Oryctolagus cuniculus: one gene and its partners. Each later gene encodes a partner of the first gene's protein in a complex. Links are inferred from orthologs where the notes say so. Each region holds a gene or a part of one and is shown in the gene's direction. Other genes may lie near its edges.

Region 1 (6,408 bases):
CTGCTTCACTCCCCAGATGGCAGCAATGGCCTGAGCTGGGTCGATTGGAAGCCAGGAGCCAGGAGCTTCTTCCAGGTCTCCCACGAGAATGCAGGGTCCAAGCACTTGGGTTGTCCTCTACTGCTTTCCTAGGCACATTAACAGCTGGATCGGAACTGGAACAGTCGGGACTTGAACTGGCATCCATATGGGATGCTGGTGCAGCAGATGGTGGCTTTACCCACTATGCCACAGAGCCAGCCCAGGCTTCTGTCTTTTTTTTTTTTTAAGATTTATTTATTTATTTGAAAGTCAGAGTTACACAGAGTGAGGAGAGGCAGAGAGAGAGAGAGAGAGGTCTTCTGTCCGCTGGTTCACTCCCCAATTGGCTGCAACAGCCGGAGCTGCGCCAATCCAAAGCTGGGAGCCAGGAGCTTCTTCCGGATCTCCCATGTGGATGCAGGGACCCAAGGACTTGGGCCATCTTCTACTGCTTTCCCAGGCCATAGCAGAGAGCTGGATTGGAAGTGGAGCAGCTGGGTCTCGAACCGGTGCCCATATGGGATGCTGGTGCTTCAGGCCAGGGAGTTAACCCACTGCACCACAGCGCCAGCCCCAGGCTTCTGTCTTTTAAAGTAAACTCAGCCTCTACTTTTCATGATTGTTCTGAGGATTAGATGAGAGGAGGTTTGAGAATGGGCCCAGGGTAGAAGGTCTAGTACTGAGAATTTTTTTTTTTTAAGATTTATTTATTTGAAAGGCAGAGTTAGAGGGAGAAAGAGAGAGAGCTTCCATCCACTGTTTCAGGCTGAATCTAGGAGCCAGGAGCTTCATCAGGGTCTCCTACGTGGGTGGCAGGGGCCCAAAACCTTGTGCCATCTTCTGCTGCTTTTCCCAGGCCATTAGCAGGGAGCTGAATTGGAAGTGGAGCAGCCAGGACATGCCAGCATCGTAGGCAGTGGCTTTACCCACTATACCATAACATTGTTAGTAAAATGGTATCGTCTTCCTAAGCCCAGCCTGGCTTATTAGAAGTCAGGTGAACAAACGGCCCAATCACAAGCATCGGCTCCACCGCTACCACTCTGGGATTTGCTGCTCCCACTTCCCTCCCTCTGCAAAGCCAGGTAGGAACTGTTCTAGCACAGGCTGCTGTTCTCTTCTGCACGGGGACAATAAACCTTTTCCCTGACTCTGGTGTTTGGTGTGTCTGGTGGTAGCCTTTCCTTTCAAACATCAGCCCCTATTTAGTGAAAACTAACATTGGGTATCTGCAGCTTACCTGGAAATGCATCTACAGTAAGATGGACTGGGGAGGGCATTCAGCACTGCCGTGAACGCGGCGCTTGGTACACTGCACCCCATGTTAAAGTGCCTGGGTCCGAGTCCCAGCTCTGCTTCCAGGTCAGCTTCCTGCCAGTGCACACCGTGGATGGCAGCAGGTGAAGTCTCCAATACTTGGGAGGTCCTGAGGGAGTTCCTGACTCCTGACTTCAGCCCAGCCTGCCTCGGCTGTTCTGGCCATTGAGCAGTGAGTCAGCAGACAGATGATGGATGTCTGTCTGTCTCTCGATTTTTAAATAAATTTAAAAAGAGAAATGGACAGGTGAATAAAGGCAAAGATGTTTTAGATAAATGCAAGATATTAAGCAACGCATCTGCAGCTGTAGCTTCTAGGGCACACGGGTATTCCCCGTATGGCTCTCAGCTTTTCTGTATGTAAGGAAGGAGAGTGACAGCAGTTCCCAAGACAGTCTTCCTACTCCCTGTCTTGTAGTTTGCTAAAAGACAGGCTCGTGACCCTCTCTGGAGAGAAGACTTTGGTCCAGAGGGCCTAGAGGTCAGGAGTCCTCTGATTTCACTTTATTCTCTGGGTGGACCGATGCTCACCAGGTCAAACCGCTGTCACCAGCGCCAGCATCCCATTTGGGTGCCAGTTCGAGTCCCAGCAGCTCCATTTCCCATCCAGCTCCCCGCTAATGTGCCGGGGAAAAAAAAGGATGCCTTGGAGGTGGGACTTGTGCCACAGTACGTGAAAGCACTGTGTAGGAGGCCCAGATCCCAAGTGCTGCTAACAGCTGCACCTGTTGCTTCTGTTAAGTACAAACAAGACAGTTCTTTTGGCAATGGAATGAAAGATTCCACCATAAGCCAATAGCCAATGCTGAACATTGGGTGCAGTCCTGATGCTTTAGGCCAAGGCCAGCGGACCCCACTTGAGTTTGATTTCACTGTGACAGTAGCATGGTAGGCAGGGAAAGTCGCCTCTGAGCATTGGCACTTTCCGCTACACTCCGAGAGCTGGGTCCAACGGGGGCCTGGGATGGGGACGCAACACAGTAAACATCCAGTGTGGCCGTGGCACGGAGAAAACGGTTCAAAGCCGGTCACCCAACGGCACAAACCTGATCGCCCACGATCCTCCCGCCTGGAGAGGACCCCGACCACACGTCGGGGTCGCCCCAGACCCTTCTCGCATTGTGTGCTTAACAAACATGGGCCCGTGTCCTCCGGCTCGCTCCGAACTGTCTTTCAGGAGCCGCTTTCAGTGCCGGTGATCAGTCAGGAAGCCGAGGCAGTTCCTTCGACCCGCCTGGCTCGCGTCTCTCCGCCGCCTCTCAGGGACGCCGGCATCTTGTTGCGCGTTCTGACCGCTCTCCCGAGCGCGCTGTCACAACCTCCGGAGCGCACCCTGGGCCCTCCCCCGGCGTCGCAGTGCGCCCACATAGCCGCCAGAGGGCGAGCGGGAGCAGCGGGCGGGGCGCGACTGCGGCTGCGCACGCCGCTGGAAGCGCGTGTGGAGAGAGGCCGGGCGAGAGGGGAAAGGTAGGAGGTGAGAGGTGAAGGGGCAGCGGGCTGCGCGGGCGCCGGGCGGCCGGGAGAGACCAGGGGAGCGCCACGCACCAGACCGCGGGCTAGGAGAGCGCACGTCGCGCCCCGTCGCCACCGCCGCCGACCAGGAGCCGCCGCCGCCACAGGTACCGCCGCGCGCGTCCTCGCGACGCGGGCCCCGGCTCGGGCCTCCAGCCGCGCGGACCCGGGAGTTCCGGGTGGCGGCAGCCGGCGTGCGGGGCGCGCGGGCGTGGGCGCTGTCCAGCAGTGGTGCGGGCGGGCCTGGGAGCCCGCAGTCCCGCGAGGGGCCGGGCAGGGCCGGCTCGTTCCCACCCCCACCCGGCCGCGCCCCCGCCCCCGCCCCCGTCCACCTCCGGGTCCCTGGGGCCGCCGCCGAGGAGGGGGTCGCGCTCCGTGGTCCAGCCGCCCCGGGCCGCTGTCGGTTCTAGAACGTGCTGTGCGTACAGTCTGGGCGTTCCCGGGGGCCGGGGAGAGAGTGAGGCGCACCGCTGCCCCTGGGGGGATGCGGGCACGGCACCGCCGCGCAGCTCGGCTTTCCGTTGTGTGCGCCGCTCGGACCTAAACTTTGCTCACTGCCGCGGCTTGTGTTTACTTGCAGGGGGGTTTAGTGCCTCGGGCGCCCCTGGGCTTAGAGTGACGGTAGCGCCCGTGTCCGCGCTGCGCCCGGAGGGTTGTGCAGATGGCGGGGCTGCAGGGGCGGCGAGTCCCCCGGGGGCGCTGGCGCTGCTGCCGCCTCCGCCTCCGGGTGGGGGTGACCGTCAGGGCCGGGCCGTTAAGGACTCCCTTCCTGGGCCTGTGTGGGGGCGCAGAAGAGGCTTCCTCTGGCGTTAGCTGTGTGTGCCTTCCCTTGCGGCGTCTGGTTGTCCAGCGTCCTCCCCGGTGCTGTGCTGGTGATGGACGCTCTTACCGGGCGGTGGGCGTCGAAGGCGTCTGCTCCGTGCGTGCTCCCGAGTGACGCCTGACTGGAGACTGGATCTTCCTTCCTGCGTGTTCATCCCGGTTAGATTTTAGGTGTTCCAAGCATTTGCAGCCTTCCCACTGGGAACGTGCTGTGAAAGTCTCTAAAGACTATCTCCACCTTCGTTCTTTTGGCTGTGAAGTTGAAAGAGTTGGTTTTCATGGCTTAGGAATTGATCTGGTGTGTGAAATCTCTTGTGCACCTTCCCAGAGGCCTCATGTATTTTATAATCGCTGGTTAAGCCCCCACCCCCACCCCGCCTTTAGGTTAGTTTGCTGTCAGGAGGGTGGTAAAAAGTTTACTCCTGGTTGATGACTAGAAAATAGAGGTGCACAGTTTTGGCTTGTCTGAGGTCATACGTGAGCGTGTCGAGAGAGCCATGCTGTGGGCCTCCGTGCACACGTACTCTTGTATGGTTTGTGTCATCACTGCCACTGGCGGGTGAGCGGATTCCTGGAGAAACGGGGCTCCCAGGGTCGCCCTACTTGTAAATGTGAATCAGGCCTTCAAACCAGATCTGCCAGGCTCTGCCTCCTGAGTTGCTTCCATTTGCAACTAGCTACCTTCCTGAGTTGGCTAAGGAGGCAAGGTTCAGGGCCGACTTCTGCCAACTGAAGTCATCGTTCTGGGTCATAATTACTAAGTTTGTGCTGGCAGGTGCTGTGCTGGGTGCTCCAGTATTGGTGTGTTTCACTTGATCTGCACTATCAGATGAGGTGATGTCACTGTCACCCGTTTTATACTGGAGATGTAGAGATTTACCTTCCTGGCCCTGGGTCGTCACCCAGTGAGTTAGAGGCAGAGCCCCTGGGCAAACCTAGGTTGATCTGACAAGAGTCCGTGCCTTTATGCGGTTTTTGCACCCGCTGGCTCAATCGTCTCCATTGCTCCACTGGCAGATGAAGAAGGCAGTGGGTGATGGAGGAAGCCAGTGTCACAGATAGTGGAACTCAGTAGGTCAGGGTCACTGAAGAATCTTGTGGGGTTGCTGGATTGACCTTTGTAGTGGAGACCAGAGGTGTGCAAGCATTAGGAATGCATGTCTGTGTGTGTGTGTGGGGGGGTGGTGGTGGATATTAAAACTGGTCTTCATTTGTATCTCAGCCTTTTAAATTTTACATTATGTAGTTTACAGTGTACATTCTATTATCACAGCACACCTATATACTTTATATATAAACACATACTGAGTGAGTGTGCTTTTAACTTTTGTTGTTGGAATTGATTAAAACATTGAAGAACATTGGCTTTGATATTTAGCATTTTCTGAAAGCATAAGATACACAAAGTGTTGTGTATCTGTTTGTTCCTCAGCAGAAGTAATTGCACTTGTAATTACACTTAATCAGGAAGAAAGGTATTTCATATTAATACCAATTACAAATTGTTTGTAAAATTGCAGTCACAAATATGAAAGAAGGTCTTATATCAATAGTCTGTCAAATATGACACCAGCCTTAAATTTAAACCTATAGAGACTATATAGCCTCTTAGACAAGATTAGAAATTTAAACTTTTTTTTTTTTAAAGATTTTATTTATTTGAGAGGTAGAGTTAGACAGGGAGAGACAGAGAGAAAGGTCTCCCACCTGCTGGTTTATTCCCAAAATGGCCGCAACGGCCGCAGCTGTGTTGATCCAAAGCCAGGAGCCAAGAGATTCCTCTGGGTCTCTCACGTGGGTGCAGGGGTCCAAGCACTTAGACCATCTTCCGCTGCTTTCCCAGGCCATAGCAGAGAGCTGGATTGGAAGTGGAGCAGCTGGGACATGAACCGGCACCCATATGGGATGCCGGCACCACAGGCAGAGACTTAGTCTACTGTGCCACAGTGCTGGACCCTTAGAAGTTAAGCTTTGTTTGGACCTCCTTTTTATTTATTTATTTTTTTTGAAAAAGATTTATTTATTTATTCGAAAGGCAGAGTTACAGAGAGGAAGAGGCAGAGAGAGAGATCTTCCATCTACTGGTTCACACTCCCCAAATTGTTGCAGCTGTGGGAGCTGGGCCATCCGAAGCCAGGAACCAGGAGCTTTTCCAGGTCTCTCGCGTGGGTGCAGGGGCCCCAGGACTTAGACCATACTCCACTGTTTTCCAGCACTTGGGGGAGCTGGATCAGAAGTGAAACAGCTAGGACCCATATGGAATGCCAGCACTGCAGGTGGCAGCTTTACTCGCTACACCCACAGCATCATCCCCCAGTTCTTTATTTAAAAAAATATATATATTTATTATTTGGGAGGGAGAGACCACAAACTAGGGGGAGAGGGAGATTCCATCTGCTGGTTCTTTAACCAAATGCTCACAACAGTCAGGGCTGGGCCAGGCTGAAGCCAGGAGGCTGGAACTCTATCCAGATCGCCCACCCAAGTGTAGGGGCCCAGGCAGTTGGACCCTCACTGTTGCCTTCCCAGGTGCAGTGGTGGGGAGCTGGATCAGAAATGGAGCAGCAGAGGCCGGCGCCGCGGCTCACTAGGCTAATCCTCCGCCTGTGGCGCCGGCACACCGGGTTCTAGTCCCGGTCGGGGCGCTGGATTCTGTCCCGGCTGCCCCTCTTCCAGTCCAGCTCTCTGCTGTGGCCCGGGAAGGCAGTGGAGGATGGCCCAAGTGCTTGGGCCCTG
Region 2 (6,386 bases), on another chromosome or scaffold:
AACAGTTGAAACATTAATAAAGTAAGAACTGGAACATTTGCTCATTAATTTTTTTTTTTATTTAACACTCACTACAAAGAAGGAAAAATGGAGGGGCTGGTGTTGTTGTGTAGTGGTTAAAGCCGCCAGTTCATGTCTCAGCTGCTCCACTTCCAATTCAGCTCCCTGCAAATGGCCTGGAAAAGGCAGGGGAAGATGGCCCAAGTATCTGGGCCCCTACCACCCACACGGGACACCCAGCTGAAGCTCCTGGTTCCTAGCTTTGGCCTGGCCCAAGTGCTGACTGTTGCAGCAATCTGGGGAGTGAACCAGCTGAGAGCAGCTCGCTCTCTCTCTCTCTCTTTCAAAATAAATAAATTTTTAATGAAAGGAAAGGAACTATTCTCTATTTTGTATGATCATCATACAATGTTACTCACTTCCTGGCTCCTCTACCACACTTCAGGTTAGACCTTGTGGACCCTTCTGTCCATAAGGGCTTCTCTCTTGCTGCTTTAAATTGCAGTGGGTAGAATTACAAGATAAGGGAAGCAGCTGATTTGCACTTTAAAAATCTCAGTAGAGGGCCGGCGCCTTGGCTCACTAGGCTAATCCTCCACCTTGCGGCGCCGGCACACCGGGTTCTAGTCCCGGTTGGGGCGCCGGATTCTGTCCCGGTTGCCCCTCTTCCAGGCCAGCTCTCTGCTGTGGCCAGGGAGTGCAGTGGAGGATGGCCCAGGTGCTTGGGCCCTGCACCCCATGGGAGACCAGGAAAAGCACCTGGCTCCTGGCTCCTGCCATCGGATCAGCGCGGTGCGCCGGCCGCAGCGCGCCGGCCGCGGCGGCCATTGGAGGGTGAACCAACGGCAAAGGAAGACCTTTCTCTCTGTCTCTCTCTCTCTCACTGTCCACTCTGCCTGTCAAAAAAAAAAAAAAAAATTCTCAATAGAAGACTTCATATTCCTCTCATCTCACCAAGTTTGCTTTCCTCTGGAAACTTAGTCATAAGATTATTCCTCCACATGTGCAGTTTGGGCAAATTTACGTAACTGGCAGTAGTAAACATAGGATTAGAAAAAGTGGCAGCTGTAAGCAAGGATACTGCAATAAACCAGGCAAGCGATAGTAGGCTGATTTAGGATGGTGACGGCAGTAATAGAAAGGAGACTGGTGCAGGAAAGGAGACAATGGGGCAGGTGCTGTGGTGCAGTGGGTAAGAACCGGTGGCATCCCATATCAGAGTGTGGGCTACTCCATTTCCAAACTGGTGTCCTGCTAATACACAGGGAAGCAGCAAATGATGCCTCAAATACCTGAGTCTCTGCCACCCACGTGTTAGACCCAGGTGAAATTTCTTGGCTCCATGCTTCAGCAGCCATTTGGGTAGGATCTCTGTCACTCTGCCCTTCAGATAAATAAATCTTTAAAAACAAAGAGACCGAGAGACGGTGAAGACCGAATGAATACAATTTGGTTGCAGAATTAGCTGTGGATGAAAAGAAAACCAGAGATGCCTGAAGTGGGTCGACATCCCCTGAGTCTTTGTGGCTTTGGACATAATTGTGGCCCACCACTTACCTACTACCTTTGGAATTTTGTCACTCATCAAAGCCTAATTTCCCTCCTCTGTAAACAGGGATAATACCCGCCAAAATAAGACTGACGCCAAGCTGTAAGCCCAGTGCACCGTACATAGCAAGCAACAGGCAGACACATGGGCAGTTTTAACGGAATAACAGAAATTTAAAACAGGAGCCACAGGAAGGCCTTTGGGTGGCGGGTCCCATCTCTGAGCACCTGCGCCCTGAGGAACAGGTTTTTGGAGGCGCTCCACACTTGGACTACGGACGCTCCTTCCCCTGGGGGATCCTGATCACCCCCATGGAGTCCAGGCAGAAACTGGATTGCAGGATGCACGCTGAGCTAGGAGCCAAGGCTTCCTGCTCCCTCCATCTAAGAAACCATAGGGCTACAGTGCTGACGCGGACTACCTTTCAGTCTCAACTGGTGGTGGAGGGGCGCAAACACAAGGACGGCCAGATCTGACCAATTGCACGTATAGGCAAGAGGGGCTCAAAAAATAAAGACCTCGATTGCCTTCCGGAGGCAGAAGCACCGTCCGGGCGTGCTTACCTCGAAGACGGAAATCAAAGAGCGGCCTGGGTTCGAGCCCCCAAGCCACGGCCCCCCGGTCGGTAGTACGACGTGGCCGCTCATCGTGCTCAGCGTTTTCCGTCTGGGAAGGGGGTAGGACAGGCATGACTGTTTTTGGCCGCGCCTTCCACACCTAGCCCAGTGCCACGTAGAGCCTCCGCTGCGAAGTCGCGCGCAGCGACGCCTGACCAGGACCCAGGGCGCCCTGACCGGCAATTTCCCTGAGGTTGCTGGGGCCAGGCCTGGAGGGTGGCGTCCTTTGGCTTTTCTCTTCCCAGGCAGCTCTGAACTATGTTTATGGGACGTTTACTGCGCTCTAATAAAACAGCAAATAATCAAAACCCGCAGAGCTCGAATCGCCAGCTGAGGCGCCGCCGCGCCGCCCCAGGGCGAGGCTGAGGACTACCGCTAGGCACCGCGCGGTGGCGCCAGGGCGGCGCAGGAAACCATGGCAACGCTTTGCGCCGTCTGCTGCGCCGCGGGTGACGCCGGCACAGCGAGCGCCCCGAGCGCCGGATTATGACGCAAGCGGTGGCGCGGCGGCCTCGCGGTCTCGCGTGACCGCGGGCGCAGCCTGCCGGCCTAGCAACAGCGGCTGAGGCAGAGGCCGAGGCAGGCGGGGTCAAGATGGTGGCTCCCCGGGCGGGGGAGGCGGTGGAGGGAGGAGGAGCCAGACCATAGGCTGCCGGAAACACCGACACCCAGAGACCTCCCGGGGAGCCGCCGCCGCCGCTGCCGCCGCCGCCGCCGCCTCCGCCGCCTGCTCCAGCTCGAGAGACGCGAGCGGGCGGCGGGGCGGGCCGTGAGGGAGACAGAAGGGGAGGGCGGACGGGGCGGAGACACCCGCCGAGCCCCCGCCCCCGGCCGCGGTCCCGGGCCCTGCCCCGCGCGGCCCTGCCCGGCCCGCCCAGCCCCGGTGTGGCAGCGGCTCATGGCGGCTGTGGGGCCCCCGCAGCTGCAGGTGCGGATGGCCCACCAGCAGGTCTGTGCGGCGCTCGAAGTGGCGCTCCGGGTGCCCTGCCTCTACATCATCGACGCCATCTTCAACTCCTACTACGATTCCAGCCAAAGCGGGTTGTGCATCGTGCTCCAGATCTTCCTCCGGCTCCTTGGTAAGGGGACCGGGGTGCCTGCGCCCTGAACTGCTGTGCGGCCCGCGACGTGCCCCGGGGCGCGGGGCAGCCGCGCGCAGCCCGTGCTCCGCGTGTGTGTGGGAATGTGTGTCTTTGGGGACCACGGTTCGATTCCCCACGGGGCCGTCTTTGCAGGGTGGGACGTGGAGGAGGTGGTACTCGTCTCGGAGGTGACAGCGGCGCGGTCCTCGCCGCCAGCCTGCGTGTGGGCGGCGGGAGAGCCAGGGGTGTGTGAACCTGCAGTTTCTCCTGGGGATTGAGTGCTGACCGACCGTGTCCTGTGCGGCAGCCTTGGGAAAGCCGCTCTGCTTGTCCCTGTCGCGCCGTGCGTGACCTTGGACTTGCGCCAAGGCGTGGACCTCCGTCCCCCCCCCACCCCCGAAAAATTCAGAGTGCCCGTGCGGTCCCTTGTGCCGCACCCGCGGGTCCACAGGATCGCGGAGAGTCTGCGGTCAGTGGTGACATCCCAGCCGAGGCTCTGAATGTCAGACCTTGGAACCGTTACCAAAAATCCTCCCGAGAAAGGCGATACTAATAACGAGATCTTCCGTTTTCCGTGAATAAACGAAAAGGCGTTCGACGTGATGTTACAGTGTTGGCTGGCAAGTAGGAAACACTTGCAGAATTCCACCCGGGAGATCGTTGTCTTTGTTGCATATGGATGGAGTATTGGAAAGGTCTCCATCTTCACTTGCACGCCCGGCGTGAGAGGCATTGATGTGTACAAGAATGTTTTCTAAGGCATTGCAAACTGGCAAATGTTGTCGATGAGGTCACTGTTGCGATCAGGCTGGTAGGCTGGAGCTTTTGAAGTGTGAATGAGCGCTGGCTGGTGGTGGGGTCCTTAGCAAGCTTTTCGGAATTAGCAGCCATCTGTTGCTGTATTCCTAAGGCGAAGGAGTGGCAATAAAAGCTGAATTTTATTCTCAGCAGTAAGCGACTGTCCCACAGTTGTCTGCTGTCGCACAGCACTGGCGCTGGTGCTGTCTGACCTAACCTTCAGGCATTCCTTGGAGGTGAGCGGTGTTCTCCTCACTTTACGGATCGGGACCCTGAGCGTCCCAGGGGTCAGTGTTCTGATACCCCGTGGGTAGGTAATTGTCAGCCTGGACTTCAAAACCCTGTGGACATCAGTTGTGGATCAGCTCCCTCCTCCGGGCGCTGTGATCCAGGTACATGATGGTGTAGTAAAGATCACGTGCTGGGTTTCAAAACTGAGAGACGTGAACTTGGCGTTCTGTAGCACCAGACTTCTCAGCAACCCGTCGCTACCGAGTTCCCGCTGCTCTTACTTAACCCTGCGAGTGTGTGCTCATCACCGGGATTCGTGGCCAGGATGGGACTGCTAGGAGGATTCTGCATATTCATTCCAGAAACAGCACAGCCACTCCTTGAGTGTTCTGAGGGCATACTGATTGCAGTCTGCAGTCGCAGAATCCCTTGGGGACCTGGTCTTCAGTGCAGTGCCCTGTTGAGCTTTTCCCTTCCAGGACAGGGAGTATTTTCCCCAGTTAAGCCATGTGTAGTTTAACGACACTGAACAAAGCAGTCTGGTGTCTCCTTGTATTCTCCATGCTTCTTGTTTTTTGTAATAAGTCACGGACGTTTATTTGACAATTTTAAAGAACGGGACTTAAGGGGAGTGACTTACATGCTCTGTGACTTCGTTTTCTTTACCATCTCACAGGATGTTTGGACAATAAATGAGTAGAAATGTAATCTCTTAAAAGAGCACTTTTGGATATGTGTTAGCTCTTAATAAACTTGTTAGCTTTTTAAAAATATTTTAACGAGTCACTTCAGACTACATGTTCTTATGATAGCATCTCCAAGATTTTGATGCTGTTTATTTCAAAATTTTGATTCTAGAATATTGTTTAGGTTTGATTTTTTTAAAAATATGAAAGTTTCCAAATATGTTACTTATACTGTACCAGTGTAATTATGCTAACTTTTCAAATATTTGAGAATAAAAATAAAAAAACTCGTGTTAGTAATAAAATAATTCACCCTAAAATGAATATGTTATTAAAAGTGATAGTTTCATATGCAAAAGGTCCCAATAGATATTGAAATTAATTTTCTGCCAGGTTAATGTTTTTGTAGTTGGAGACTTCCTAGAACTACTGTTATACTCAATGGTGTCAACCTCACCCTTTTCTTTAAAGTTAATTTGTAAAAATGGAAATCTATCTGTATAAAAGTATTACCAATTTTATTTATAGTATTTAAAGTATTTATTTCCCCTGACTACAAAGAGGTGCTACAATTGTATTCTCATTTGCCATCAAACTAATTTGAGATTTAAGTAGGTCAGAAAATAAAGCATTTCATTTTGGAGATTCAAACAGAATTGTACAAGATACAGATTAGAACATAAAGTTGTTTCTAAGGAGTTGTTAAATGCTAAATGAAACTCAACCCAAAGCAGCAAAATGCTGAATCAGCAATTTTAAATCCAGAAAGTGCAAGCATAGGCGTTTGCTTTAATAGTATTACTCATATGGTGATAATTCATCTAGGTGGGAAAGGACTTTCTAAGACATAAAATAAGATGCAGAAATTACAAGGGAAAATCTGATAAATTTGAGTACATAAAAATGAAAACATTTTTATGGCATAATTTAAAAAATCCTTAGAAAAGACAAGTCAAGGGGGAAATCATTGTATCATATGTGATTTCTTATTCAATAGGAAAACCTTATACTTCCATAGAAAAATAGGCCTGGCAATTCACAATAAACAAAATGCAGAAGTCAATAAACAAGAGAAAAAGTACTTAGCTTCATTTGTAATTAAAGAAATGCAGTCAAAACAAAATTTTACTTATCAGATTGGTGAAGAATTCATTGTTTGATTTGGAAGAAGTTTGGCATTTTACCTATTTGAAATAGGTAAATTTATACAATTTTGGTAGACTACATAATTTCCATGTAAAATGGTTTGGCACTGGATTGGGCCTTGTGGCGTAGCAGGTTAAGGCACCCCTTGGGATGGCCATAGCCCATATTGGAGTGCTGGTTCGAGTCCCAGCTATTCTAGTTCCAGTCTAGTTCCTGCTAATGACTCCTGGGAGGCAGCAGATAATGGCTCAAGTACTTGGTCCCTGACACCCACATG
Region 3 (6,249 bases), on another chromosome or scaffold:
GGGTAGTGGGTTAAGCCTCTGCCTGTGGCGCCCACAATACATACGGGTGCCGGTTTGAATCCTGGTTGCTCCATTTCTTACCCAGCTCCCTGATAATGACCCGAGAAAGCAGTGGGAGATGGCCCAAGTGCTTGGGCCCCTGCACTTGGGACTCCTGGCTTTGGATCAGCCTAGCTTCAGCTGTTGCAGCCATTGTGGTATGAAACAGTGGATGGAAGACTTCTCTGTTTCTCCCTCTTTCTGTCTGTAACTCTGCCTCTCAAATAAATAAATAAATCTTTAAACAAAAAACCTGTATACCATATCAAAACACTGCAACAAACAAAAGACCAAAACACTAAGGTGCTCTTTAGTGATTTGGATTCTAACTACCTAACAGAAAAATTATAACACCTTTTTAAAAGAAAACCTTTGGATGTTTTCAAGCTGGATCAGTTTTCCAGGTTCAAGGTTCTTACTTGTAAGGCTTAGTCATCATCAAGTCTTAGGCAATAATTAATGATAGTCGAACATTACCTCACTCCAACAAGGCAAATAAACTTTTGTGGATCTTGCATTTGCTAACTAAAGAGGCTGGTTTTCTGTTTTGGTTTTGTTTTTGAACTTTACCTTTTGGTGTATTCAATTAGGAGGTCAAACAAGTAAGGCAATGCTAGAAATTTTTCTGTAAAGTCACAGAATTATCAAGTCATCGATATTTCTATCTATGAAAAGGGCCTTAGAAATCATTCAGACCAATTTCTCATCTTACAGATGAGGAAAAGTAAGCCTAAAAAGCTGAATGTATTGGACATGACCATAGAAATGCTGTCTCAGGGCCAAGATACCATCCAGGTTTCCTTCGACAGCATTCCACCAACAACATTATACCAACTGCAGAATACCCCAAACTTACTCTGATTTCTCAAAGTTCCCGATTTATGTTCTGGCATCAATTAATTTAGGGTTGTAATGTTTTCATGACAACATAATTTAGTCTAAATTCATGAGACTGATGTTCAGATCTCATGTCTCATCACCCACCCTTTCACATACCAGGCTCTATGGTGCGATTTTTGTTTTTCCAACCATAAGCACCCACCATAAAGCACAGCCTCACCATAGCTATATATCTACCCTCAACGTCCAAGGAAGGACCATATCTTCTGTGAAAATGGTCCTCAACCTCATCTAAGACAATGGCCCTTTATATGTCTCCTAAGGATTTTATACTCTGCCTTGGACTGTGGTAGTGATGACTGCATTAGGTGCAAGAACCTCAGGAAAGGGTGTCCCAGGGTTCTTGTGCTTTAAGTCCTGTTCCTCTTTGCAATTAATGTGTATTTTAAAATAAAACAAATGTCTTTTTAGGCTAAAATTCACCATAAATATTTTCTAGAAGACAATTCCTTAGTGTTTGAAAACAGTAGGATTGGAATAGGCATGAACATACAGGATCCACATTGTTTTACACAGTCTTGATGTCACACATTTTAAAGGTATTGTTTCTTTCCTGTCTGCTTTTTTTTCCCTAATTCATTAGTTTTTTCAGTATAGTTAGCTCAAATACACACACACACATAGGGTTTAAAAACCTGCAAGAGTGAAATTTAAGAGCTAGAGAAAATAAGGGTCACATAAATACTTGCCAAGTAACTTCTGTTGTAAATTTAATTTCTATTTCATTTTCCAGAAACAAACATGCCTGTAAAAGAGTGGAAACATAAAAATTCAGTTTATCATTTACCAGCTCAAAATAAAGGAAATGAGTTTCGCCAACTGGCACTTCTTTGCAAAAATCTATTACGCAATTATTCTAGGCTTGAATTTCACCTAAAACCTTCCTGAAGACCATAGTAACCTGACCACAATCATAATGTATTTTAGGTGAAGCCACGTCCCAAAAGGTGATTCGTGGGATAGCCCAGTAGTGTAATATACTCAAGAGAGACTTGGGCTTTGTCTTTGATTTATATAGTTACATTTCATAGCAGGAAGACAATTCCTTATAACGAATACTACAACTCCAACTACTTCTTGGCGCCCATACGGCTTGCATATGCACTCATAGGCTCACTGGATTCACAACAATCTCCCAAGATCTCTCAGGGTTGGTCCAACGTTCTAAAAGCACCATTTCAAGCCAAGGGAAACGAATGCTTCTGACAAGAGGTTACAAGGTTTTCTCGACCTGGGTGTAAACCTCTAAGTACCGTCCTTCAGAGAACTATGGTCTCCAAACCGCATTACCTGGCCGTCCTTGGCGAACGATCAGGAGCGAAAAGTGCACAGGATGCTGCGGGATGGAGGGCAAACCATACGTTTCTCCCAAATAAGTTAGCACTTGGTAAGGAAGGCAAAGGGGCCCAGAGGAGAGCTGGGCACAAGCACAGATAACAGCGTTCTTAGCAAGAAGAACTTGGCCCCTGCGCACCAGCCTCGGCGGCGACCGCGCTCGGAGACAAGGAACACGCCGAGCGCCACGCCCCTCCGGGGGTGTGTGCGTGTGTCTGTGCACGATCCCCCTTACTCCGCCCACAGGGTCTGGGCAACCGTCACAACGAAGGCCTGGTCAGTCAACAACAGCTGATCCGGATGCCTCCCATCACATAGGCAGTCCACGCCCACCGCCAGACGCCAATTTCCCGCAGACCGGAAACCTCGTTGCCCCGATTCGCTAACCTGCCAGGTAGTGCCCGCGGTAACCGGAAGCTCTTTTGCCCCGAGCACCGGCGCGCGGCGTATCAGCCGCACAGGCGCAGTGGGGCTTGGGCGGAGTTGTAGGCGAGGAGGAAGAGGCGGAGGCGGGGGGTGGGGGCCGGTCCCAGAAGATGGCGGAGGCGGGGGTGAGTTGGGGTCTCTTGGCGGAGCGCGAGTGAAGAGGTGCAGAGAGGAAGCGGCCCGAGGAAGAGGGTGGTCCCTCGGAAGAGGAACTACTTGTGGTTTTGCAGCCTGGGAACACTGGCGGCAGGTGCGGGTGGCTAGGACCATAGATGGGGCCTGCAGGGCGAGGGGCTCCGCTCACCTGGCGAGAGGTCGGCTAGTTCCTGAATGGGACAGTGGAGTCTGGGAGGGGTATTAGGAGAGGCCGAGGCTCCCGGGACGGCGCGGGAGTGAATGAGTGGGGAAAAGCCTGGAGGACGCCGGGAAGGACGACCCTGGAGGTCTGATGAGGGGAGGTCGGCGAGCTGTCAAGCATAACGCTGTCAGGACTCGCGTGGCCTGTGGCCGGCGAGACGGAGCTCGGGCTAGAGAGCGGGCTGTGGCTACACAAGGTAGGGACTTAGTAAGCGTAAGGTCCATCCGGAGAGATGACACGGGGCTGAGGCCGTTGGCAAGTTGGTTTGGATACCTCGGGGGTAGGTGTGTGATTAAAGCCAGTGGGGCCTCTTGCCAGGGCCTGGAAGTCGGTTGGTGATGGTGACCGGAGTTTGAGGGTCACTCGGTGGGGACTGGCGATGTGGAGGAGGAAAGTCGTGGGAGTGACGGGGGGCGGGGGTCTAAGGGTCCTAAAGTGATAACGACGCGTGCCCGGTGAATGTTGGAAAAAGTTGTTAAAGAGTGGTACTAGCCAGATGGCCTAGGAAATCATGCTGTGAGGCACTGGCTGTTTTGTAGAATTGGTGAGGAAATGCATTAAGAAGGAACGGGGAGGCTTGACCGCGGGTGCACCGAAACTGGCCGGCGTCAGTATTGCAGTGGAGCAGGGGTGATGCAGGGGAAGGCGCGCTCCAGCCCTGGTGCAGGAGAAATGAAGCAGCCGCGCTGTGGCTAGCTGGTGCTGTCCAACTTTTGGCTGTGATAGCAGACCACGGAGTGCAAGTGGAAGAGGATGCCCCTACCTATTGGGGCTGCATGGAATAAAATTTGCCCTGCACTATTCCCGTCCCCCTCCCCCCTTCATTTAATTTTTTTCTCTAGACTTTGTGCTCAGTATTGCCTTTTGGCGCAGTGTGTTTTGTCCTAGTTCTCAGTTCGTGTCTGGTTATAAAGTGACCACGCTGTGAATTGTGTACCTTTGGGAAAGAGATTAAAGAGGAAAGGATAAAATGCAGTTCAGGAATTTAAGGACAGCTTGCTTTTACTGTCAACAGAAAATTCTCCCCAAATCTTAGCCTAGCTTTTTTTCAGGACTAAGGTTTGACATTGAAAAGCCATAATGGGTTCTCAAATGCTACTTGCTTAGTGGTTTCTGTGTGTGGGTTTAAAAGTCAAGAGAAAAGAGTTGACATGGCTTCCAGGCAAACATTTTTTTTTCCTTCCTGCAAGTTTATAATGTCCCTAGCATATGATTCATATGTGTGTGTGTTTGTGTGTGTATGTGTGAAGGGGTAAACTGTTTCCCTGATTTAAGTGTGTTTTTCTAATGCTTATTTTGTTTTTGAGAATGTCATTTTGAGAGAGAGCATATCTTGAAAAAGATGTGAGGTAGTAATTTAACTTTATTATTTAGTCGTCTGCCTGTCCTAAGCACCTGGAAAGCCAGGAATCTGAAGCAGCAGCCGTCCTTCTGTGACTCCTTATCACTGGAGGGGGAATGATCCTGATGCTTGGGTCAAGGGGGTGTTGTAGTTGTTAACAACCTGTTAACTAGGGTTCCAGCCTGCTCCCAGGGCTACTAGGAGATTTTTTGGATGTGTGTGAGCGGTTTCAGTGGTCAGCATAAACTTTGATTTCCATTCTCAAAGTCCACAATCACAGCCCTCTTTCATTTATCTAAAAGGACTAATATCAGGGCCGGCGCCGCGGCTTAACAGGCTAATCCTCCGCCTAGCGGCGCTGGCACACCGGGTTCTAGTCCCGGTTGGGGCGCCAGATTCTGTCCCGGTTGCCCCTCTTCCAGGCCAGCTCTCTGCTATGGCCCAGGAGTGCAGTGGAGGATGGCCCAAGTGCTTGGGCCCTGCACCCCATGGGAGACCAGGATAAGTACCTGGCTCCTGGCTTCGGATCAGCGCGGTGCGCCAACCGCTGCAGCGGCCATTGGAGGGTGAACCAATGGCAAAAGGAAGACCTTTCTCTCTGTCTGTCTCTCTCTCACCGTCCACTCTGCCTGTCAAAAAAATAAATAAATAAATTTAATATCAATCCATGGACAGGGGTCGTGTGCCTGGAACAGTGCTTTCCTGTTATTGATGATTTATTATCGAGTTCTCCAAATCATGTAAACTATTTTTCTTTCTGTGCAGTAATCTACTATGTAAATTTTTGAAAACATCATTTTGGTATTAGTAGTAGTTTGTCAATATGATTTTGAAAGCTGTTTCTGTGTGGCACTTCAGTGGTTGACATGTAGTATTTGTAAATGGAGGCAAAGTGGTCAAGTGGGAAGAACTCTGGACATGCAGAACGGTTGGGCTCAGCCCTGATGTTATTTGGTCACAGTTTTGTGATTCTGAAAAGTTAATTGATCTATTTTGTTTTGTAAAATGTGCTTAAAAGCACCTACCTGTTTATCAGGATTGTTGCTGAGTATCTATTAAAAAATTGCCCTTAAACAATATCTATACCAGAGACTTCTTTTCTAGTTGGCAAGTTACTGGTCATATAATCTATACTTTTCATGTATTTTTTTAAAATTGGGAGTATCAAATTTATCATTGCTGTTAGAGCAATAGTTAAAGGTATATGGCTGTGTGTTTAAGTGTAGTACCTAAGACACTGCTTAGAACACAACATTCCTCACTGGAATGTCTGAGTTTGAGTCCCAGCTCCACTCCTGATTCCAACTTCCTGTTAATGCAGACCCTGGGAGGTAGAAGGTGATGACTCAAGTAGTTGGGTCCCTGCCACACACATAAGACCCACATTGAGTTCCTGGTTCATGGCATGTGCCTAGTCCAGCCCCAGGAGGTACAGTCATTTGGGGATTGAACCAGTGAATGGAAGATCACTATCTCATTCTCTCTGTTTTTGAAATAATAAGAAAAATTATAAAAAATTAACCCTCTTTAAAAAATAAACATACAGGTATACTTTGATCTTTTTAAAAGATCAATTTATTATATTTTATTTTATTTTAAAGATTTATTTGAAAATAAGAGTTACATAGAGAGAGGAGAGGCAGAGAGAGAGAGGTCCTCTGTGCGCTGGTTCACTCCCCAGTTGGCCCCAACTGCTGGAGTTGCACTGATCTGAAGCCAGGAGCCAGGAGCTTCCTCTGGGTCTCCCACACAGGTGCAGGGGCCCAAGGACCTGGGCCATCCTCTACTGCTTTCCCAGGCCATAGCAGAGAGCTGGATCAGAAGTGGAGCAGCCGGGCCTCAAACCGGT

The links.
Region 2: SCAP (region 1) and RNF139 share a complex: the UniProt entries of both Homo sapiens proteins name them as parts of the SCAP-SREBP complex. The link is inferred for Oryctolagus cuniculus from reciprocal best matches to the Homo sapiens genes SCAP and RNF139.
Region 3: the proteins of SCAP (region 1) and INSIG2 are in contact, whole or in part, in a cryo-EM structure (PDB 7ETW), measured with the Homo sapiens proteins. The link is inferred for Oryctolagus cuniculus from reciprocal best matches to the Homo sapiens genes SCAP and INSIG2. Residues at the interface, in NP_036367.2 of Homo sapiens: Pro200, Ser206, Val282, Ala283, Glu284, Ile286, Pro287, Thr290, Ile294, Ala297, Tyr298, Phe301, Lys305, Tyr351, Val354, Val355, Glu359, Thr409, Leu410, Val411, Ser638, Tyr639; in NP_001308258.1 of Homo sapiens: Phe41, Val45, Leu48, Leu49, Ile51, Val55, Leu57, Phe58, Pro59, Val62, Ser65, Ile66, Glu104, Trp105, Ser106, Met109, Arg110, Val112, Ala113, Val114, Val116, Gly117, His120, Gln132.

Annotation. Positions count from the first base shown.
Region 1 is NC_091441.1:101,359,568-101,365,975, forward strand, and holds the start of SCAP (sterol regulatory element-binding protein cleavage-activating protein), read left to right. Parts: upstream 1-2,698; 5' UTR 2,699-2,805; exon of another isoform or gene 2,806-2,957; intron 2,958-3,150; exon of another isoform or gene 3,151-3,268; intron 3,269-6,408. UniProt on the Homo sapiens protein: Escort protein required for cholesterol as well as lipid homeostasis.
Region 2 is NC_091437.1:150,138,224-150,144,609, forward strand, and holds the start of RNF139 (E3 ubiquitin-protein ligase RNF139), read left to right. Parts: upstream 1-2,753; 5' UTR 2,754-3,064; coding exon 3,065-3,245; intron 3,246-6,386. UniProt on the Homo sapiens protein: E3-ubiquitin ligase; acts as a negative regulator of cell proliferation through mechanisms involving G2/M arrest and cell death.
Region 3 is NC_091434.1:115,975,997-115,982,245, forward strand, and holds the start of INSIG2 (insulin-induced gene 2 protein), read left to right. Parts: upstream 1-2,519; 5' UTR 2,520-2,668; intron 2,669-2,742; exon of another isoform or gene 2,743-3,254; intron 3,255-6,249. UniProt on the Homo sapiens protein: Oxysterol-binding protein that mediates feedback control of cholesterol synthesis by controlling both endoplasmic reticulum to Golgi transport of SCAP and degradation of HMGCR.